3 linked regions of the Oryctolagus cuniculus genome follow. The protein of the gene in region 2 purifies or fractionates together with the protein of the main gene of each other region. This does not show direct contact. Links are inferred from orthologs where the notes say so. Each region holds a gene or a part of one and is shown on either strand. Other genes may lie near its edges.

The links.
Region 1: the proteins of SMAD7 (region 2) and ACVR1B purify together in Homo sapiens (affinity purification with western blotting; 3 studies listed by BioGRID and IntAct, with this or other methods). This does not show direct contact. The link is inferred for Oryctolagus cuniculus from reciprocal best matches to the Homo sapiens genes SMAD7 and ACVR1B.
Region 3: the proteins of SMAD7 (region 2) and TGFBR1 purify together in Homo sapiens (affinity purification with western blotting; 19 studies listed by BioGRID). This does not show direct contact. The link is inferred for Oryctolagus cuniculus from reciprocal best matches to the Homo sapiens genes SMAD7 and TGFBR1.

Annotation. Positions count from the first base shown.
Region 1 is NC_091442.1:55,282,113-55,290,042, reverse strand, and holds the start of ACVR1B (activin receptor type-1B), read right to left. Parts: upstream 4,425-7,930; 5' UTR 4,318-4,424; coding exon 4,227-4,317; intron 3,252-4,226; exon of another isoform or gene 3,210-3,251; intron 2,221-3,209; exon of another isoform or gene 1,309-2,220; intron 1-1,308. UniProt on the Homo sapiens protein: Transmembrane serine/threonine kinase activin type-1 receptor forming an activin receptor complex with activin receptor type-2 (ACVR2A or ACVR2B).
Region 2 is NC_091441.1:28,914,378-28,922,281, reverse strand, and holds the start of SMAD7 (mothers against decapentaplegic homolog 7), read right to left. Parts: upstream 4,416-7,904; coding exon 3,815-4,415; intron 2,685-3,814; coding exon 2,631-2,684; intron 1-2,630. UniProt on the Homo sapiens protein: Antagonist of signaling by TGF-beta (transforming growth factor) type 1 receptor superfamily members; has been shown to inhibit TGF-beta (Transforming growth factor) and activin signaling by associating with their receptors thus preventing SMAD2 access.
Region 3 is NC_091432.1:202,805,785-202,812,903, forward strand, and holds part of TGFBR1 (TGF-beta receptor type-1), read left to right. Parts: intron 1-528; coding exon 529-653; intron 654-1,625; coding exon 1,626-1,756; intron 1,757-4,514; coding exon 4,515-4,640; 3' UTR 4,641-7,119. UniProt on the Homo sapiens protein: Transmembrane serine/threonine kinase forming with the TGF-beta type II serine/threonine kinase receptor, TGFBR2, the non-promiscuous receptor for the TGF-beta cytokines TGFB1, TGFB2 and TGFB3.

The sequences.
Region 1 (7,930 bases), on a different chromosome or scaffold from region 2:
GCCGGAAACTTCACGGCTAACCCGCACCCTGGCTAACCTGCACCCTGACAGCTCCACAAGGAGCAGGGAGCCACCCGTCTGCTTGCAAACAGCACTGGGGCTTGGTGTCCAGGATGGAGAACCCAGCGGGCAGAGACAACAGAGTGACGGGCAGACACGGCACCTTGGAAGCCCAGGCTCCCGTTACACCACGCAGGAGCTGGAAAATCCCGGGGAGGCAGCAGTCCAGTGTGGGTATTGCAACCTGGCCACAAGGCAGGGCCTGACTCAGGTGTGAGAACCAGAGCCCAGCACAGCCAGTGCAGGTGGAACTGACGGGTTCCAAGCGGCCCGCCCACATTGGAGGCCCAGATCACAAAGCGGCTTTCTCTTTATGAACAGAGGCAAAGGAGATAAGACCCTCTGACATCAACTCCTACTGTAACACACGACACAAGAACTCAAGCCAAGGAGGTAGGGTTCCGGAGTTAACGTTCACTCCCGCTCTGGGCAAGGACTGACCAGTCAGCAATAAAGATTTCAAAAATGAAAACACAAGATGCACTTCAGTATTCTAATTTAACCTTCAAAACTAGAGAGGTTCCGAGACACGGCGCTGGTCCACCTCGACACCCCATGCTCCCAGGTTATCATGGGAACAGCCTGCAATGCAATCCAACTCACGCTCCAAATGCAACAAGCGGGCGTGCACGGGCCGTGCCGGGAGCAGCAGCGGCGGCGTCTCCTCGGCTCCTCCTTGCTTACTGATTCATATTTTGGTAGCAAGGTTACAATTAGCTCACCGGTGTAGAATAAACCTATTTATAACACAGCAGTCCACCTGAAAGACACAATCCTTTGACAAGGCTGCTGCAGGGACAGAGTGCAGCTTCACCCCCAGCCCACGCACACAGCAGGTTCCCAAGGTCCTGGGGGGGGGGGGGTTGGAGGGATGTGCAGCCTCCGCCCGGCTTCCCTTCCCGCCCTGCGTGCAGTCACTCCTCTGGCCACCTCTCGGCCTCCATGTTCTTATGTAACATTTACATAGGGCCATAAACATACCCGGAGTTGCGTAAGACTTACAACGTTGCCAAACCAATGAAGCCTAAAGCAGGTCACTCCCTCCAGACCTGCTTTGATTAGCACCCACGGTGGCAGAGAGGAATTTGAGGAGACCTGAACCCGGTCCGCAGAAGCAGCACAAAGGTAGAAAACGCACCACAAGGCCATGTGCTGCCTCTATCAATCAGAGCGTGCTCCCCTGCCCCCTGAGATAAAGTCACCCCACAGCCCTTATTCACTGAAGTCAAAAACTGCGTCTAAAAATACCTCCACCAACTGGCCCTCAGTCAGCAGCCCCACACCCGGCCTGAGGACAGCCACACAGCGCCGCACCAGGAGGACCACTGAGGCAGGCGCCCAAGGCTTGGCCAGTTGGTCAAGGGCCGCCTGGAAAGGAGCAAAGTTCCCGGACTGAAAAGCAGTCCCCTCCTCCTCTGCTTCCTCCTCCTCCTCCTGCCTCTAACCTTTAACCAGGGTGGCCATTTTAACAGGTTTTATCACATCAGCTCCGGGAGCTGTCCTAACAAAACTCCAGAGAGGGTCTCTGCTCCTCCACAGGAGCTGGCTTCCGCCCTGTTTCCAAATCCACGGCCACGCAACAAAATCACAGGGCTTGGCTTCAAGTTGGATTTTTAGTCAACTCAAAAGGAACCTCCAATGTCTGTCCCTCTGCTTTTGTCCTGAGACATCGAAGTCCTGTTCTCCTTTTACTAACTCAATGTTAACCACTAAGGTAAACATTCCAAAGCCAGGTCTTAACAACACGATATACCTATCAAATGGATGCTATTTCTAGCCTGAAACTCATTCTCTGTATCACCTTGGCCTTTCGCTGTGTCCCAGGTAATTCATTAATTAATAGAAACACCTATCCTTCTACTGCTTTCCCTCCCCCTCCAAGCTGTGGGCATCGGAGCTGCCGGGCTCTGTCCCTCTCCCAGACCATGTAGGGGAGCACAGGAAAGGCAGGGCATGGAGAAAAAAAATCAACTTCTTGTCATTGCACAGCCTCTACTTTCCCAGAAGTGACGTGTGACTTTAAGCCTTTTGCAACAGTGGTCTCAGCAGCGTGCACTACTGGCAACTCCATGTGTCCCGGAAAAAAAAAATATAGTGTCTGGCCAAGAAGTTGAAAGGCCCTTGAGAATGTTTGCTGGACACACAACCTAATTTCCCAGTTGCCAAAAACAGAAAGGAGCTCCCTCTTACGCCCACCCACCCTCACCCCAACAAATGTCCATTGTAGGCAAGTTACCAAAAAAATGAACTCTGCCCCATTCACAACCAGTGGGATTATCAATTAAACACTCTTAACAACAACAAGAGAAACCCCACAGCCACTCCGCCAAACCAGCAGGGAAATAAATGATTGTTAAAAATCCTGGGGGTATGATGGGCAGGATAAAAATTCCAATGCTAGGAATTTAAGGATTTATTCACACACACACACACACACACACCACACACACCAGACAAACCTGAAGGCTTGAGTCTCCTTATTCTCCCCACCTCACTTCCTATACCAGGTTATACATCCCAAATGCACGGCCCATAATAAGCCCCCCATGCTTCCCCTTCCCTGCAAACATCCTTATTCATGGAAATCGCTATCAGGCAACAAAGGTGCACCTTTACGGTGTTTATAAGACCTGTGGAGGTTACCTATGCCCCAAGGACGGGCGAGGTGCTTACCGGGAGCATTAGCCAGTGAACAAAGACCCCACTGCAGAGCCTATACCGCCCGGAACAAACATCAAAGCCCGAGATAATGAACTTGTTTTCTGAGACGCCAAAGTGGCGTCTCCTTGATGGTCTGTAGCCACCTGAGAACACGAACACACGCGCGCGCGCGCGCACACACACACACACACACACACACACACACACATACACACACGGCCCCCAGCGCCTGGCAGGTTAGGGGGATGCTGAGAAGTCAAAGCAGCAGGCTTCCTATCCGGGGCTGGTCTCCCCCAGACCCATCTGTGGGACAACAATCAGTTCAACCTATTGAAATCCAAATATAACCTTCACCTGCTACCCCAATGCCAAAACGCATTTGAGCCGACTCTCCGAAAAGGGAAGCAGGGTTAGGGTTTCGGGGCCTCTCTGCAAACAGCACAGCCACTAGAATGTCCCCCCCACCCCCACCCCAGGAAGGTGCCCACCTTCAGGGCGGCCAGGGTGGGTACAGCATCAGGCAGCAGAGGCTGTGGGAAGGAAATTAAGTGGTGACCAAGGCGAGGCACACCGGCGATGGCCGTGGGGGTGGTGGCCAGCTTCTAGGGTTTCACCTGACAGGCATCGGCAGAGAGATCCACTGAATGGGCCCCCTGGGGTGGGGTGGGGTGGGGTGGGGGAGGCCAGGAGGAAAGCAAATACAGCCAGGATCAGAGCAGCCGCCGGGAGCCAGGCTTCACAAGGCTACCAGATTCCAGAGCCAAGCCTGGGAGAGGTGTAGGGGCCTGTTCCTCCCACTTGCTCCCCACTGCGTCGGCCCGGCGTGTGGGCTGCGAGGGTCGGGGGGTGCCCCGCTGAACTCCAGGGACGGTGCTCGGGGGAAATGGGATTCCCTTTCCCAGAACATCAGGCAAGGAGGGGACGAGCCACACCAAGTGCAGGGGGCTCAAGGAAAGGTCAGAGACCCCCTCCCCTCCAGCCCGCTGGGCGTGAGGACCCTCTCCACACCAGGATACCTCGGCGGAGAGCCAAGACCCCCCACGGCCCGAACCCCCCAATCTTGGCGGGAGAAACAGGCGCCCCCCCACCCAGGAGCATCTGGAGCGAAGATACACTGCCCCCCGCCCCCTGGACACGCTGAAGGGCAGAAGCCACGGCGCTCCCTATCTCGCAGGCGCCGGCCCCAGGGGTCCCCAGCGCCGCACGCTGAGGGTGCCAGGGGGCGCGACCCCCTGAGCGCTGCCCGGACCCAGCTCCGCCTGGAGGAGAGCTCGGGTCCCCGGGGCCCGGCCGAGCTCGGGCCGCGGCGGGGCAGCCGCGCCTCGGAGGTCGGGGGGGAAGAGGAGGAGGCCGAGCGAGGGTCACCCCGGACACCTCGCGCCCCCCGCCCGGCCATATTGTGCGCGTGGGGAGGGGGGCGCGCCGTCGCCCGGGGGCCGCAGCTCCAGGCCTCGCCCTCGCCCGGCCCTCTGCAGCCCAGCCCCCGCCCCCACCCCAGGACTCACCCTGGATCCCCCGGGGCCCGGACCCGCCGCTGCCCGCGAGCAGGAGGACGACGAGGGGGAAGAAGGAGGAGGCTCCGGCCGACTCCGCCATAGTAACCGCCGCCGCCGCAGCCCAGCAGCGCCCAGCGCGCGCGCGCGCGCGCCCCCGGCGCCTCCCCTCCTCCCGCGGCCCCGCTCCCGCCTCCCGCTCCTCCGCCCGGCGCCGGCACGTGCGCTCCCGGCGGAGCCGGCGCGCGCGCGCGCCCCCGAAAGGGCGGGGCCGGGGTGCGCGCGGGCGCCCGCCTTAAAGGGGAGTGTCCCTGTTAAAGGGGTGGGCGGGGTTCGCGCCTCGGCCAGCCTCGCGGAGCCGTGCGGCGCCCGGCGCGGAGGAGGCCGGAGCCGGACGTGCAGCCTCCGCCCCTCTGCTGCACCCCACGCAGCGCCTGGTTACCTTATCAGCGCCGATCCCCTCCCCCCAACCGGGCCCTGGGCGAGCTGCGGCTGGTGCGCGGTCGGAGCCCGGAGCCGCCCGGCGTGGCCCCAGGGCGGGGAGAGGGTCCTCGCTCGCTACCCTCGCCCCCTGCAATGCCGCGTGCGTGCACGCTCCTTCCATAACACAGCAAGGCTTTGCAAATGATGCAGCCCAGGCGTGGTGGGGGCTGGGCGCAGCCGCCGGCGCTGTCCTCCTGGCCGCGAGCGTCCTGTCTACCGAGAGCCTCTCGCTAGCCATTCCCCTTTGCCCGGTATTCGCCGGTGTCCGTGTCCGGGAAGTCGTAAGGGGAGACGACGAATGTTTATGCCGAATGTCAACTTGCCCATTTATCCTTGCGAGCACTGGACACCGCGTAGGCGCTAATCGAAGCCCGTTAAATTATGAGCCGTCTGGGAGATGGAACACGAGTTATGATTTTAAAATCATGGTTGCAAAAACTAATGGCGTGAGATACTGTTAAAGGCGTAAGTGGATTACATAACTACTCAGAGTGCTGTTCAAATTTGGTGATACTATATATTTGCATGGAAAAAAGACTGGAAGGATATTACCCAACGTTATCAGTAGTTACTGCCAGGAAGAATTCTTTTCTTTTCCCTTAAACGTTTGGGCGATTTCCAAATTTGTGCTAAATACATGTCACTTTCAGATTTAGACAAAGATGCTTATGGAAGCTAGGCGGAAGAAGAGTTCACTCCCTCAGAGGCAAGGGGGTCGGAGATGGTGAACAGGGCAGGGTCTCCCAGGCTCCTGATAACGAAGCTTGGGCAAGCTTGTAGCTTGGCTAAACCCAAGTTCCCTGGCTGTGAGCCGGACGGGCTGGAGCAAGTTTCTCAGGTGGACTCTTGCTGGACTCTTCGTCTTACAAGTTGTCATCAAACTGAAGCACCATCCTCTCCCTGGGCAGAAAAACAAGACGAGAGGCACACACACAATGCACACACGGTCACACGTGCCCAGGCACTGCCAAGTGGATCCCGCAGCTGGACAAATAAACACCTTATTTTTATTCTGCTCTCTTTCCCGCCCTCCCCCCCTCACCTCCAATAGGCACCTCCCACCTCCTGAGCATCTAACTGGTCTCCCCAGGCATACTCTGTCCACACCGGGTCTCCCAGCTGCAGTGCACACAGCTAGTTCCCCAGGGCTTCCTTCCCGAAGCACCACCAACTGGGTAGCTTAAAATAACAGAAACGTGTTCTCTCACAGCTCTGGAGGCTGGAAATCTGAGACCACAGTGTTGGCAGGGCCACTGCTCTCTCTGAAGAGCCGAGGGAAGAATCCTTTCTCGCCTCTTCCAGCTCGTGGTGGTACCCTGAATCCTTGCTCTTCTTTGGTTTGTGGAAACAAAGCTCCCATCTCTGCCTCTTGGGTCTTCTCAGGGCTGCCTGCTCTCTGAGTCTGTGTCTCTGGTCCCATCTCTCTCTTCTCTCTCTCTCTCTCTCTGATTTCAGAAGGACACCAGTCATTTAGGGCCCACCTTAATCCAGTCGGCGGGCATTCCAGTAATCTTTGATTACCTCCACAAAGAGCTTGAGGTCTTCTTTGAAGGTTCTGGGTAGATGTGAGTGTAGGAGGGACACTGTTTAACAGATACAATCAGCAAGCTGTCTCTGTGTTTGGGAAGGGAAAACAGGTCCTCCCCTCCCCTTGCAAGGGGCAGAGACTCTCCTTTGTGTCTTGCTCAGTAAGGGTTGCCACTATGTTGCCACTGTGGCTACAATAACAGATGCACCAGCAGTAAAGCTAAGGTTGCTTTACCGCTAGGCAGCAAAGCCAGCCACGAGCCTCAAGGCACCAGGCCAAATTCTGGGTCTGGGGATCAAATGCCATCTCCAGTAGCTCCCTTAATAGCGTTTGACTTTGAGCAAGTTGTTTTCTCTCCCTAAGCCTCAATGCACTCATCTGTGGAATGGAGCTGAGCACAATTCTGTGTCATAGAGATGTGAGAATTGCTTCAGATACTCTATGGAAGAGACCAGCACTGTGGCATAGTAGGTTAAGCTGCCGCCTATGGTACAGCCATTCTATATGGGTTCTGGTTTGAGTCCTGGCTGCTCCACTTCCAATCCAGCTCCCTGCTGAAGGCCTGGAAAAGCAGCAGAAGATGGCCCAAGTGCCTGGGCCCCTGAGCCGCATGGGAGACCCAGAAGAAGCTCCTGGCTCCTGGATTCAGATCAGCCCAACTCCAGTCATTGCAGCCATTTGGGGAGTGAACCAGCAGATGGAAGACATCCCTCTCTGTCTCTCCCTCTCTCTCTAACTCTGCCTCTCAAATAAATAAATCTTTTAGAAAAAGATATTCTAGGGAAAGCATTTAGTCCAGTCTCTGACATGCAGGAAATGAAAGAACAGCTGTTATGATTATTGGCCCTTGGTCTTCACTGTGATCCTGAGTGGTGCCCACTTTATGCTTGAGGTGACTGAGACCTAGAGAAACAGCTTGCCAAGCTCACGTGGAACTGATCATTAAAGCCACAGCCCACTGCCCTGTGCTTTCTGCAACATCTCAAACTTTTTCCAGGGTCAGGGCTTCAGGATTGGATGCAGGTGGGAAAGAAGACTTGACAGGAAGGGGTGAGTTCTATCCTGCACACACACACACACCACTCACCTGTGTTTGGGGCATCTCCTCCTGGAGATGAGGCCCCTTCCCTTCCAGGTTCCGGGGTGCACAAGGACAAACGTCCCAGTCCACGCCTGTGCCCCATGCCCCTTCCCACAGGGCAAGCTTCGCCCACCCCTCCTCACCATCCCTGAAGTCCTCAGCAAGGCATCCATTTTTGTTTTTAAGATTTATTTATTTATTTCAAAGGCAGAGTTACAGAGACGTGGAGAGAGAGAGACAGAGAGATCTTCCATCCAATGGTTCATTCCCCAAATGGTTGCAACAGCTGGGGCTAGGCCAAGCTGGGAGCCTGGAACTTCATACTGGTCTCCCACGCGGGTGCAGGGGCCCAAGCACTTGAGCCATTCTCCGCTGCTTTCCCAGGCCATTAGCAGGGAGCTGGATAGAAAGTGGAGCAGAACCCAGGACTTGAATCAGCGCTTATACGGGATGCTGGTGTTGCAGGCAGTGACTTAACCTGCTGTACTACAATGCTGGCCCCAAAGTGTCTGTTTTTGTAAGCTACCTTCGTTTTAGGGCTGCACCTGCACCACAGTCCACACACTTCTTTTGCCTTCTGCTCTACTAGGAAAAATTTGCTCTCCAGGTTCCAGTAAGCAGATC
Region 2 (7,904 bases):
CTGGATTGGAAGAGGAGCAGCTGAGCCTGGAACCAGTGCCCGAATGGGATGGCGACACTGCAGGCAGCAGCTTTACTCGCCACGCCACAGTGCTGGACCCCTCAAATAAATTTTCAAAATGTCTTTAAAAAGGCCTGGAAAAGTGAAGAGGGGACCTGCATTAGGAGACCAAGGTCAAAATGCCAGACTAACAAAGGCCTTTGGAGGCTGGGTGGGCCACCAGGGTTCCCCAGCCCGTGCAGGGAGAGCTCAGCTGGCAGCCCCGTCCAGCGCAGGACTTTCCCACCAGCAAACACAGAGGACACAGGAAACACAGCGCCCACGGAACCCCCACCCCAGCATCCCCGCTTCACAAAGTGAGGTCTGGTTCCCAACAGCAAATTCTCACTCCTGCAGACGCAGCCACCCTGGCCCCGGGTGCAGCCGTGCCCAACACTCCAGCAGCAAGCGCGCTGGGACCACACAGCACCCAGGTGGACCAAGTCCAGGCCCTCCCAGCCACAGCAACACGGAGCTCCCAGGTTTCCACCCCCAGCAGTGCCCCAGCCCCCTTCCCACGGCCTCTTCAGAAAAGGGAGTCCCTTGGTTGTGCAACTGGTTAAGATTTTAACAGCTGGCCACTGTAACACCCTACGCCCGCTCCGCCTAAGTAACCCAAGACCAAAAATTCAACCCAGCGCTCAGGACCTTAAGAATCTAAGTGGCTGATAGGAATTCCCAGGCCCCACACTCTGCCATGCAAGGTGGAGACACAAACCTGGGGTGGCATCCCTCCCCACGGTGTCTGACCACAGCCGCCCGCCGCAGAAGCAGCCCCGGGCGGGCGGCCCCTCCAAGCCCTAGATCTGGCCGTCCTGTGCTCTGTCCAGACCATTTCTCTCAGGGGGGCTTTCTCTGTTGCCACCCCCCAGGCTCTCACACCACAGCGCCTTCCTTCTGTCCCTCACTTTTGTTTTGCTTGAAACAAAACGATGCGGGTGAGTAAGCGACGCTGTGAGCTTCCGACTGGCAGGTTAATCACTTCCTATTGGCCCATCAGCAACCTTCTCTCCCCCTTGGAAATGGCACATTCCTGTCTTTGTGGCTTCTCTGTTTACACACATTTTGCTACCTAATGTCAACACTTGCTAATGAATAAATATATCACTCCACTCACCGAAAATGAGGTCCCGGCCTGGCAGAAGGACTGCTAAGACAGCAAGACCCACCAGAACGTGACCTTGCTGCTCTATGGCTTGGGGAGGCTTCTGGGAACACCATCCTCCCTTCTGATGGAAACCTACAGCTAGGAATGCACAGGGAAAACCAAAAATGGGCCGCCATCGTCCCTGGAAGACCTAACCTTAACCTCCTGCAGGAATTCTTGATGCTTGAAGCCACAGTCCTCGGGGAAGCGGAGCTTGGTCACTCCAGTTAAGGTTTGTTACAAACACAGGGAGTTGGTTATCTCATTAATGACCATTTATCTGGTGTTTTGTAAATCGAAAGCAAAATATCACATGCTCCACAGGCCCCTTATTAGACAGGCACCAGGCAAGCAGCAACGCCTTCCCAGCTTGGGGGAGCTGGTGCAGTCCCAGGAGGGCTGGCTCCGCGCACGGGGCTTCGGTTACACGTTCATTAAAGTATTTAATGTATGACAACGCCCCGGCAAAACTTTTAATTAGTGGGGGGAACGGCCCAACAGCCAAAATGCATGAGGCAGAAGGACCTGGAGAATTCCAGGACCTAAACGGCGCCCAGCCCTTCGCTCCTCCCGCGCCAGACCCTTGGCAAAACCAACCATGGCACCAGTGTGCGCCGGTGCACAGGCACAGACACCAGTTACAGTCTGTACTCTCCAGCAGGTGACTCTGCCTGGAAGAAGGGGCTGCAGGCTGCCAGCCTGTCTCCGGGGTCACCCCCCAGGTCAGTTCTGCTAACCCTGTCGCCTGGCACCGCAGCACCAAAGGTTGGGACCCCTGTGTCGCCAGCCAGAAATCAAACGCGGACAACCACAGCAGGGCTGATGCCAATCTCAAATGGGTTTCTGCCCTGGCCGGGGGCCCTCCCGAGACAAACCAACAGGCAGGCAGAGGTACCCTAAACACTTTCATGACCAGACCAAGGATTCCCAGGAAAAAAAAGGACAGGGCTGACTTGTATGTGACTGGGGCAGGGGGCACCTACTCCCCTCTGGCTTCTGGAACTTCTTAAATGCACCACCATCCTATCCTAGACAGGCCAAACTCGGCACCTCCATTCCCTCAAACCAGCCCTGATTCCTTGGGCACTCGCCACAGTCTCTGAAGGTTCCCATCACCCTGCTCTGCTTAGTCCCCAAGCCACTTCTTTGTGGCTTAAAGCATCCGGGTATTAAAATCCAACCAGCTTCAGAGGCAGAGGGCAAATATACGTGAAAATGGAACCCAAGGTAAAGCTTATCTAGAAGAGGTCTTTGCAAAGAAAGAAAGAAAAAAAAAAAAGGCAAAAAACCAGCCACACTAACACAAAGTCACCAAACTTCCAGCACAGGAAACCCAGGTGCCACTTGGGGCGAGGCCAGCACCTCCCCAAGGCTGCTGTCTGGACACAAAACACCCCGCTTCTAGCAGAATAGGAAAAGCATTTTTTCCAAGCCATCTACTCACCAGTTGGTTTGAGAAAATCCATCGGGTATCTGGAGTAAGGAGGAGGGGGAGACTCTGGAATTAAAAAGAGGAAATAAAGGCCGGGCCATGAGAAAGAGAGATAGAAACTTATGATAACAGAGGCATTCTTTCGGCCCCACTGTTTGTCTTAGCTGTGGGGGTTGGAGGCAGGGCTGCGGGGCGGTGATTGCCTTGATATTTAGCTGTCAGATAAACAAAAGAGGCCGCCTGGCGCCAGCCTCGGCGCTCCGCTCCTCCACGTCTGCGGCGGCCGCCGCCGCCGCGCTCGCCCAGCCGGGCTGGAAACCACCAGCTCGGCCGCGGCTCGGCCGGGGCCGCGCGCCTCGCGGCTCCCCGGGTGGAGGGGGGACAGCCCGGCCCCGAACCCTAGACCCCCATCCCACCTCCCGCCCCAGCCCCTGCGAGGGAGGCACGGGACTCCCCATTCCCAGCCCAGGGGGAAGACGCGCCCCAAGCGTGCTGGTGAGCTTGGGGGGCACCTCGTCCCAGGCACCTTAACCTTTGAAAGAAAAGGTGGGGTGGGGGGAGAACGCAGGCAAGTGGGAAGGCCAAAGGGAAGGGGCTCGGGAGCTCTGTCGGGGGAGCCCAGGCCCCAGCTCCGGGACGGGCAGCAACGTCACCAATGCGCTGGGATAGAGCATTCCAGACCCAGTTCTGCGCCCGTTTGGTGCCAGAGAAAGGAGAAGGCGGGGGACACTCGACTTCAGGCCTCTAGAACGGCGCAGCCCAGGGCGCCATCCCAGCCGGGCCTCCCCTGCTAACCCGAGCCAGGGCAACATCTGGGCCGCCCGTGCCCAGTGTCTCCGCGGCCGCCAAAAGCAGCTCGGCCCTCCCTCTCGCTTCTCCCAGCCTTCCTTGGCGGGCTTGGCCCGGATCCAACTCGGCCACACACCTCAGCGCCTTTCCGGGTGCGGGGGAGGCGTGAGCCCCACTTGTCTCCGCACCCGGGTGCCGATGCGGAAGTGAGGACGTCTTTTTAACCGCCCATCAGTACAGTGTGTGGTGGAGCTGCGGCCACAGGGCCCCTGGGGGCGCCGGACAGACCTGGGAGGGAACCCCCAGGGAAAGCCCTCGGAGCCCGCCCCGGCCCCCCGTGTCTCTCTCCGCCCGGGAGGTGACTCGCGGCGCCGCGCGCCGGTCGCGGGGCGGGAGCAACTCCTCACCTAGTTCGCAGAGTCGGCTAAGGTGATGGGGGTTGCAGCACACCAGTTCGGGGTTGATCTTCCCGTAAGATTCACAGCAACACAGCCTCTTGACTTCCGAGGAATGCCTGAGATCCGGCCACCTGAACACTTTGCACAGCAGAAGGGGCAGCGAGTAGGACGAGGGCGGCTGCGCGGGCTGCGCGCTGGCGGGCGCCCCCGGGCCCGGCCTGCAGTCCAGGCGGCCGGGCAGCAGGAGGCACGCGGTGCGCGTCCCGCCCCGGGACTCCACGGCCTGGAGCAGCAGCTCCAGCTGCCGCTCCTTCAGTTTCTTGAGCACCGAGTGCGTGAGCGCCTTCAGATCCGCCTCGGCGCCCCCGGCCGCGCCGACGCCCGCGGCCGGCGGGTGGGGGTGGTGGTGACCTTTGGCACCTCGGACCGCCTTGCCCAGGCAGCAGCCAGCCCTGCCCGCGCCGCCGCCACCGGCCCCATGCGCCCGGCCGTCCGTCGCCCCTTCTCCCCGCAGCTCGCCTCCGCCCGCACCCTCCTCCCCGTCCTCGCCGCCGGGCGCACGGCTCCTCCAGAGACGCCGGACGAGCGCAGATCGTTTGGTCCTGAACATGCGGGGCGAGGAGGCGAGGAGAAAAGTCGTTTGCCGGCTAAGGAGCGAACATGACCTCCGCACACCATGAAGAACTCGGGCGCCGAGTTGAGGCAGCAGGCGCAGGCGACAGCAGCAGCAGCAGCAGGGGCCCAGGCAGGAGCGGCGGCGGCCCGAGGGGCGCTCCGTGGCATGCGCCAGTCTCCCGGAGGCCGGGGCGCGCGCGGGGGCCCGGGGGCGCCCGCCGGGGCTCGGGGGCCTGCGCTCCGGCTGCCCCACCCCGCGCGGCCCGCGCCCTGCGCGGCTCTCGGGCCCCGGCGCGCCCCGGAGGAACGCGGCCGCCGCTTCCCTGGGGGCGGCCGAGCCTGCCCCCGTCGGCGCCTCCCCAGCGAGCGGCCCCCCCGCGGCGGCTCCCGAGTGTCGGGCTCGCCAGCCTCGGCTTCCTACATGGAAGATCCGCGGGGGCAGAAACCGAAAGGCGCCCGGCGAGGCTGCCCGAGCGAGCAAAGAGCCTCGTTCCCCCTTGCTAAGCAACTTAATTTGGGGGTGGGGAGAAGCAGGCAATTATAAAAAAAAAAAAAAAAAAAAGCAGGCACGCGATTTATTTTTTTCCTCTATATCCTTAGTAACCGGATCTCCTCGAATTCCGTGCGCACGAAGGCTCGGGGGAGGGGGCCGAGCGGACTTCACCCCGCATGAGCCGTCTGGCGAAACGTGGAGGTTCTCGCCGAACCTCAGAAGCAAATATGCAAAAGCCCCAGATGAAAACCACCAGCTCGTCCGCCCGCAGCCGGGGCTTGGGAGGAGAAAATGTTTACAAAGTGGAACAAGACGCTTGCGGGGTGCAGAGGCGCATCCACGAGCTACATGCCCGCTCCGTTCCTCGCAGAGCCTCGTTGGTCTTCCTCTCCGTTTCTTCTGCCTCCCCCCGAAAGATCGTGTAATTTTTTTTTTTTTAATCCACAGAAAGGTCGGGCTAGGCTGCTTCAATCCTGCGCATCCGGGTGTCCCAGGGGAGTCTCTGGTCTTTCCTCCTGCGGTCCCGGGGGCCCAGGTTCTCGGCGGGGACTTCCTCGGGGCTGGCGGGGGCGCAGGGGCAGAAGATGCTGCCGCTGCGGCTGCGGCGGCGGCGGCGACTGCGCCCAGCGGGGCTGACAGCGCGGGGGAACGCGGCACGGCGGCCACCGCGGGCCCCCGGTGGGTCGCACGCTCCTGCCCCCCCGGGCACAAGCTGCCGGCTAGCGCGGGGGCCGCTGGCGCCCCCTCCCCTGGCCGTGGCTGGCCGCCGGGGCTCCCCGCATGGGCTGCTCGCCCCGAGCCGGCTTCGGCGGCGGGAGGCCCCGGTGTCCTCTCGCCGCCTCCTCTGAGACTCCTCTCGTCGCAGCCGGCTGCCTCCTTGTCCCCCGTCCGCCCTCTCTCGGCGCTCGGGTCCTGCTGCCGCCTCCGGGGGCTCTCCGCGGCGCGCTCAGGGGCTCCGGGGCCGGGCGCTCGGCGGCTCGGCGCCGGCGGGCTGGCTCCGTCTCAGGCAGCTCTCTCCGGCGCGGCTCCCGGACCGAGCACGGCGCCCGGCTGGCTCGGCTGGCGCGGCTCGGGGACAGGATCCTCCGTGCGCCGAGCTGCAAGCGAGTGTGCCCGGGGCTCGCCGCCTCCCGCAAGGCCTCCGGCCCCCGCCCCCTTCCCTCCCCCTTCTCCCCCCTTCCCTCCCCCGCCCCGGCCGCCGCCGCCTCCTCCTCCCCGCCCCCCCGCCCGGCCCTCGGCTCGGCTGGTTCCACTGCGCAGTGGCGCGCCCGGCTCCGGCCTCGTCACGTGGCCGTCTAGACACCCTGTCGCTTTAAAAAAAAAAAAAAGCGATTGTGTTTCGCAAACAACAGATCGGGTTTCTAAAAGCTATTTCTCCCCCCCGCCCGCCACCGCCACCCCCTCCTGGGTCTGCAGCAGGGGGACCAATGTGGGGGGGCTGGGGGGGTGGAGAGGCAGGGGCCAGCGGGGCGCCCAGATCCGACCGAGACCCGGCTGGCGCGGGGGAGGCTGTGTGGACGAGCCGAGACGCCGGGCGGGACGAGCCGGTCGCTGGCCCGACCTGGACCGAGCCGAGCTGCGCCGGGGCCGTCCCGCGCGCGCTCGCCCGCGCGCTCCATTCATTCGTTTTGTTTGAAAGGCGCTGGCGGCCGAGCCCTGGCCGCGCCGGAGGGAGAGGGGTGTAGAGCGCCGCCTGTTCGAAAGACATTCACACCGGGCTGGAGCGGGGCCTGGGAAGTGCGCGCTGCAGGGAACAGCCGGGCCGCCGGGGGCGGGAGGCGGCGCGAGCGTGACCTCAGCGGCGGCCCGCTCCCGCTCCGGGCTCCGGTTTCCAGGACCGCCTGGAGAAGCGTGTCTTGTGCACGGCTGTGGAATGCGTTTGGCTGGCTGACGGGCCGCGAGGGGCGGCATCCCGGCGGGGGGCGGGGGCGGGGGCTCGCCCGCGGGCCGCCCGCAGGTTTCCTCCCGGCCCGGAAGGCTTCGGACAGCCGCCCGCGCCCCCGGCCCGGGGAGGTCCCCTGCGAGCAGACCCGCCTGGAGCGTTCGCTTGCGCGCGGAGCCTGTCCCTGCGCGCCTCTCGGCCGCGCAGCTCTCAAGCGCTCCGGGTCCGAGCTCCCCTGCACCCCGGGCTCCCCAGAGACAGACCCCCTGCTGGCTGGTGGCCGCAGGGCCCCGGCGGGGTGATGGGGCAGAGGACGTGCGCAGGCTTCGAGGAGGCCGCTAGTTGGCACGGCGATCTAGCCTCGCCTCTTATTCACTGAAATAGAATTTTTTTTTTTTAATCATTGCCGTGACATCAGCACAGCCCTGAAACTCCTTGGGGATTTTTAAGTATCTTTAGAGAAGGTGATTGACGTGTACTATTTTCATCTCCCCAGCTACATTGTATTTTCTTAAAAGGAAAAGCCCGAGATGAGTTTAGACACCTTTGTAGCTCAACCCCGCTCCCCTCCAGCCTTCCAAAAAGTTTCTAATGCGCAAAAACGGCTCATCATTTAGCAATCAACACTTGTGGGACAGAGGGGTTAAGCCTGGGCGAGTCCCTCAGCATCCCATAGGAGCACCCCTTAGAGTCCTGGCTGTTTCACTTCCCATTCAGCTCCCTGCTAATGCACCTGGGAAAGCACCTTAGATGGCCCAAGTGCTTGGGTCCCTGCACCCACGAGGAAGACCTGGATGGAGATCCTGGCTCCCAGCTTCTTCATGGCCCAGCACCCCGCCCCCACACCCCTGTTGCCATTTGGGGAGTGAACCACTAGATGGAAGATGTGTGTGTGTGTCTCCCTCTCTCACTGTAACTGTCTTTCAAGTAAATAAATAAATCTTTAAAAAGCACACACTTAGGGCTTAAGGGGATGTTTGGACTGGCCTCCGCAGAGCAGCTTTGGTGGTACAAATGTGGCAGGGATCAGCCCATCGGGGACCCAGCAGTTCACTGCCCTAGAATGCAGCGGGAAGCCAACAGTTGCAGACACATGTGTGGGAACCAGG
Region 3 (7,119 bases), on a different chromosome or scaffold from region 2:
CTTGGGCCATCTTCCACTGCTTTCCCAGGCCATAGCAGAGAGTTAGATCAGAAGTGGAGCAGCCAGGACTCAAATCAGCGCCCATATGGGATGCCGGCACTGCAGGCAGTGGCTTTACCCACTGAGCCACAGAGCTGGCCTCCCCAAGTACTTATATTATCATCTGCCTCCCAGATACATTAGCAGGAAACTGGTTGGATTGGAAACAGAGGTGGGGATTCAGTCCCAGGCACTCTGATGTGGGTACAGGTATCCAAGTGGCAGCTTACCTGCTGTGCTACACACCTGCTCTGTAGTTGTTAGATGGGCAGACAGTGTGAAACTGCTGTTTCAGCATTTCATGGGATTTAATTGGCATCATCAATTTACACATCAGTTTGTGTATTGAATTTTTTTAGTCTAATCTCTCAACTATGTAATACTCTGTATATGCCTATGTATGTTCTGTGTGGAGAAATAAAGTTTATGGAACAGTTAAAAATAATGTGGCCGCCATTCAGTAAAATAAAACATTGACTTCTTTTTTAGGTACATGGCTCCTGAAGTTCTAGATGATTCCATAAATATGAAGCATTTTGAATCCTTCAAACGTGCTGACATCTATGCAATGGGCTTAGTATTCTGGGAAATTGCTCGACGATGTTCCATTGGTGGTAAATTGCTCTCTTCTTTCCCAGCAGTTTGTCATGAGCAGAACTTGTTGAAGAATTACATTCTTTCCTATTGAATTATATATAATGTGTCTACAGTCTGAAACAGGTGATCACTGAGAGTGCCAGAGAAAACAAAGGGGGAATGACATGACATACAGATTGTACAGCTTTATTTTAGTGAATTCTTTTCCTGTTTCCATTTGAATCTTGGCAAGCATCAGAAGCCGATTCCTTGTTACACTGGGATAGACTTATGTGTCACAGACCGCTGGTTGAGAGGCTGGCTAGGAAGTTATTTTAACATGTACCTGGATGATACATTTTTTTCCCTTGAGATTGTGGTTATTTTCTCCAACTTGATAGCTGTAGACTACATATACAGAAAACAGTGACATCATCATTCCATCCCGTGACTTTCAGTACATTTGTTCTGACTTTTAAGTTTCGTTTCAGATTGAGCACTTTGTAGTATTTACCGAGAAGCAGTCTGTTAGACTTGGAGCCCAGGATTGATCGAGAGCTATAGACTCAGGTTTTTGAGGCAGCGAGGGACAGAGGCTCTGTATAGTGGCAAATAGGACTTGTAGTTGACAGTTGCATGCCGACAAAGGGACTGGCACTCTGTAGGATTCACATCCTCAGCTGAGCACACATGTGTACTGAATGAGAGGCTAGAATAGAAAATCTCATTTGCTGCACAGTAGCCTTCTAGGCGAAAATGGCAATCTGGTTATCACAGCTCATAGTTAACCATCATTGAAAAAAGCCCGTGCTGATCTCATGGCAGTGTTGAGTTTCATGATGTGAGCCCAGAACAGACGGGCAGGGGCGGAGCTTGTTGATGCAGATGTGGAGCAGAGAAAGCTGTGAGTCCTGGGCACTGTAATAGGCCCTTTGGGTGATCCTTTTAATGGTTTGGCATTAGCTGAATAAATTTTTCAAAATAGTTTGTATTTTTTTTAACCAATCTAGGAATTCATGAGGATTACCAGCTGCCTTATTATGATCTTGTACCTTCTGATCCATCAGTTGAAGAAATGAGAAAAGTTGTTTGTGAACAGAAGTTAAGGCCAAATATTCCAAACAGATGGCAGAGCTGTGAAGTGAGTATTTCTTTTTGATACTAGGCAAATTTCTGAACTGCATTTGCTTAGTTGCAAAGTGAAAATTAGCTACTTTTTCTTAAGGAAAATGGACAAGAATTCTCTTTTTTCTTTCCTTTTCATAGCACTTTATGCAGTAGATAAAAATGAAGCAATTTGCTTTCCACAACACACTGAAAGGGCCCTGGAGCACTTGCAGTGGCCATTAGTGAGTCCAAGGTTGTTTAGGTCCGCCCAGTGAGCTTAGGCATCGGCCTTGTCAGTCACTGTTTCCCTTCAGCCAGACAAGCCCAGAGTGATGTGGTAAGTGCTGGACAGGGAATAGGACGTTTGCAGCCTGAGCACCCGCTGCATGCACAGGCTTTATTTTTGTTTATTTTGTTTTTTAAAGATTTATTTATTTATTTGAAAGAGTTAATACAGAGAGAGAAGGAGAGGCAGAGAGAGAGAGAGGTCGGTCTTCCATCTGCTAGTTCACTGTTCAACTGGCCACAATGGCCAGAGCTGCACAGATCTGAAGCCAGGAGCTTCTTCTGGGTCTACCATGTGGGTGCAGGGGCCCAAGGACTTAGGCCGTCTTGTACAGCTTTCCCAGGCCATAGCAGAGAGCTGGATCAGAAATGGAGCAGCCAGGACTTGCACCGGCACCCATATGGGATGCAGGCATGCAGGCAGCGGCTTTACCCACTGTACCACAGTGCCGGCTCCGAGGCTGACTTTGGACAAGTCACTTTGCTGGAACTTGGATAAAATTATCCAAAGGTACTTCCAATGAGTTTGTTTTGTGTTCACCTGATTGCCTGGATAACCATTAAACCAGGAATTTTGAGAAAGTGCTTTCTATTTAGTAGTGTGAGCTTCTCAATCCAGGTCTTAGAAAATGTTTTTGAGGTATGTTCTTAGTTGTGAATTTAAAGAATTTGTAATTCAAACTGTACACAACCTGTCCTTAATTGCTAGCTGTCACTATTGTAATATTGGTTGAGGCAGGGCCTGTCCTTCTACATGTGATGTTTTGCAGAGTGGAAAGCTGGTCACTTCAGTAACCGATTTTCCATCTTAAAATAAGGTGAAACACTGCAGATCTGGGATATGGAGAGAGCTTGCTGCTTCCAACAAAATCAAGTATCAAGGCCCCAGGGAATACAGAACAGCATGCTCAAAGAATCCACATGCAACATAGTTTAACAGATTTGATGTGGATACTTCAAAGTAGAAACTTCATTCATATACTCATTTAATATTTGGAGCAGATTGCTATTAAACAGATGGCTTTTAAGGCTTCTAAGCATGAAGAAAAGTTAGCAGTTAACATTAAGAACACATTTGCAATTACTATCACATGCTGAATTAATGCCATCACTGTCATTTTTATTTTTTCTCAATTTGGTTAGTTTTCTATGTATTCATCACCAATTCAATGTTTGACTTTCCTAGGGTTTTATAAATCTCCTTTCGGTAACTGAAACATATCAAGAATGTGAATGTGAAACAGCTCCTAAAGACGGCTCCTCCAAGTCTTCCCACCACTTCCAGTCTGAACTGGCTGCTCTTGACCAGCTCTGCAGCTTCACACTCGAATTCTCTTTGCCTCTTTATGCTCCTTCCTGGATCTCAGCTCTGTTTCTTGATTTGTTCACTTGTTCCCTCTTTTGTGTCTCTGCTAGATGTTACTCTGTCAGTGAGACATTGCCTGTGTACCTGTTTGAGATGCCGTCTCTTTCCCTAGCATATTTGATCTCCTTCCCTAAATTATTTCTCCCTTTAATATTCACCACTATCTCCTAGTTCATGTATTTTACAATAATTTATTTATTATGTGGCTTAGCAAGGCCCATCAACAATAAATACACTAGTATTTTATTTCTTTGAGGATCTTACTGATAGGTTTTTGATATGTTCTGCTTTGTATATAGCTTCTGTGTTCTCCAGTTTGCTCTGTTCTCTTTCAGCTTCTGCATTTCACATGGTTGTCCTCACATGTGTGACAAACTTATTCTGTCCCTGGGTGAAAACGTGGCTCAGGAAGTGCTGGGAAACTGGTGCAGGTGCAGCAGCAGTGTGGACTGGGGAACGCAGGGCAGTCTCCCGGGTCACCTGGGAAATCACTGGAGTCTTGCTCTTGGGCTGCTCTGATTTTCCAGAGAAGACTCTTCCGGTCTCCTACCTGGAGAAGCATGCAGTTGCTGCCTGTGTTTTGGGCAGAAAGCTCACCATCTTAGCACTCAGTATGTTTTCAGTATGAAACTTCTACCCTTGTGTTCCTCAAGCCATAAGTCTTGTTACCCTCTCAGATTAAAAACAAAACATAACAACCTCTGGTTTCCTGTGGGGGTGAAGTTGGTGGAGGAAGGTATCTGGGGCCCCACTCCGCTCTTTGAGTTTGTCCTCCTGTTTTTACCCTAGGATTGGTCTGTGCAGTTACTGTCTCGCTTTGGGGCTAGGATCAATGTGAGTTAAGCTCCTGCATGGCCTTGCCCAGCTCTGGTTAAGGATTCAGCTTTTTCAGGTCTGCTAGGTACGTCACACCTGTCCATCTGGTTCTGACAACAGTGGCTGACAACAGTATGCCATCAACCAAAATTTAAGTCATTTCTAGTGATTGGCAATTACAGATAACACTTACATTTAAAAAAAAAACAAACCTGTATATATGTCATTTTAAATGAAAATTTACAGGAAAAGATTCTTACCCAAATCAATGGAAAGTGGGGCATGCTTCAACTTCTTTTTTTTTTCTTTCTGTATTTTCTTGTAGGCCTTGCGAGTAATGGCTAAAATTATGAGAGAATGTTGGTATGCCAATGGAGCAGCTCGGCTCACAGCTTTGCGGATTAAGAAAACATTGTCACAGCTCAGTCAGCAGGAAGGCATCAAAATGTAATTCTACAGCTTTGCCTGAACTCTACTTTTTCTTCGGCTCTGCTCCTGGGTTTCAGTTTGGGAGGTCATTTGTTCTACCTCACTGAGAGGGAACAGAAGGACATCGCTTCCTTTTGCCACAGGACAGTAAGGTCCATGCAAAGCGTCCCAGGAAACAGCCACGTGGGTCCTTTCTGTGCACTATGAGCGCTTCTCTGCCAGGACGTTACAAAGTGTTGTGTAGTCTACCTTTATTTTTTATTAACAAAACTGGTTTTTTAAAAGATGATTGCTGGTCTTAAATTTAGGTAACTCTGCTGCGCTGAAGGTCATCTTTAAGGGTAAAGGAGCTGGGTTCCCGAGTTCCGGAAGACATTTCTCACTAAAGAACGCGATTTACTCCTGGTTAGTACATTCTCAGCGGATTCTGAACCACTAAAGAGTTTCCTTAATTCAGACTTTGAATGTACTGCTCTGTGCTTTTTCAGGATCTTAAAGCTAATACTTTACAACTCTTATCTTGAGTCTAAAAATGACCTCATATAGTAGTGAGGAACATAATTTATGCAACTGTATTTTGTATACTATTATTGTTCTTTCACGTTTTCAGAACATTACATGCCTTCACACTGGGATTGTGCTATACCAGTAAGTGCCACTTCTGTGTCTTTCTAATGGAAATGAGTAGAATTCCTTACATGTGTTGGAACCTGGAGTGTTCAGATTCAAAAAGTTTACTTATCTAGGTGACCCAAACCTTTTTTGTTTGTTTCTGAAATTATTTTTGTGGTAAGTCATTCGGTATTCATTTTGGAAATGCCTTTCTCCTACAAAAATGTGCTTAAACCACTAAAGGAATGAAGTGGCAGTAAATTAGCAAATTGCTATCATGGTTGTGGTTGAATATTCTCATATCATGCATTTGCATTTTAATTGTGTTGTCTAAATATACTTTAAGAAATTCAAGTGGCACTCTAGATGCATATAGTACTTTAATAACTTAAAGTTTGTAGCGTACAGACTAATTTTTCTAAAAGGGAAAGTTTGTCTAGCTGCTTGTGAAAAGTTGTGTGGTATTCTGTAAGCCATTTTTTCTTTATCTGATCAAAGACAGTGTTATTTTTTTAAGAAATGGATTACATTTAAAATTAGGGTATGGTCAATGCTAAATAATAGGCCTTTTATTAGGAAGGCAAAGGTAGTTAATGTGACTAGGCAGCAGGGTGTGTGAGAGTCACGCTTGTCTTGTAGGAGTAATGTTTGGGGGTTTCTCTATGACTGAGGTTAAAGGTAGTGTAGTTTTGAGGTCTCAGTAAACTTCAAGGAAGGCAGCTTTCGTTCGGTCTTTCCTTCTGTGTGCAGATTCTGCAGTTTTGTCACTCGCATGGTTATGTCATGAATTCAGTGCACCCGTGAGGCTGGGGAGAGGTGTTAGCTAAAGAACATTCTGAATTTAGATTCTCCATTTACAACTAGTTTTGGTCAGATTATATGGTTAAAGCAGACTTGTCATGGTCTTCTCACGTCAAGTTGAAACTAGTTTCTAATAACTGGATTTTACTCCCAGTGCTGTAAAGTTCTTGCAGGGCTTTTACAGTTGTCCTAGTCCTTTTTATCACTGTGATCTTATTCTGAAGGAGAGAGAAGCTATGGCAGCTGTGAGGCCAGACTGACTCTGTAGTGCTGCCAGTCCCCATGGAAGGGGCAGAATAACCCTACAGGTTTGGTCTGAAGAGAGGGTGGCCATTTATGCTGAATAAGTTGTGTTCTGATAATGTCTTATCTCTTACAATGAATTTAAAAGACTATTGGATCTTAAAGCCAAAGTAATTTTAGAATGAGTGACATATCACATAGGAATTTAGTGTCAATTTAATGTGTTTAAAAACATGGGAAAATGTGCTTAGAGTTAATATTTCAACTACAAATTTGAGGTTTTTTTCTGTAGCTACCATTTTGTTGAAACAAATGAGTAAGTTTGGGAGGTTTGTTTTTCTAATTGTGTTCTGTTACTTGTTTAATAATCTCTAATTTTGTAATCAGGTACTTTTTTTTTCTTTGGCCATTTCTAAGCCTGCCAGATCTGCTTTATGAAATCCAGGGGACCAATGCATTTTATCAGTAAAACTATTTTTATATATCATTTTAAGAACATACCAAAAGTTATCTGATTAAAGTTTATTGCATGATTTCTTACTTTCATAGACAATAATCAGCTTTTGCTGAAGATATTCTTTATTAAATCAAATATTGAGTTACAGGATACTATTTTTGCTTAAGTGGATAAAATGTACTTCTGATGAATCAGGGAATTTTTTTTTTTTTAAGTTGGAATTTAGTTCTAAAATGAGTTTACAGATTATTGCAGCTAATTCTTTTTTTTTTTTTTTTTTTGGCTAGGGATGGTTTGATAAACCCCATTTGGCTAATACAGAAAATGAAAGTAACTTAAAAGATGAGATGGATGATTGCTGTGGCCATAACTGTAGATACATTTGACT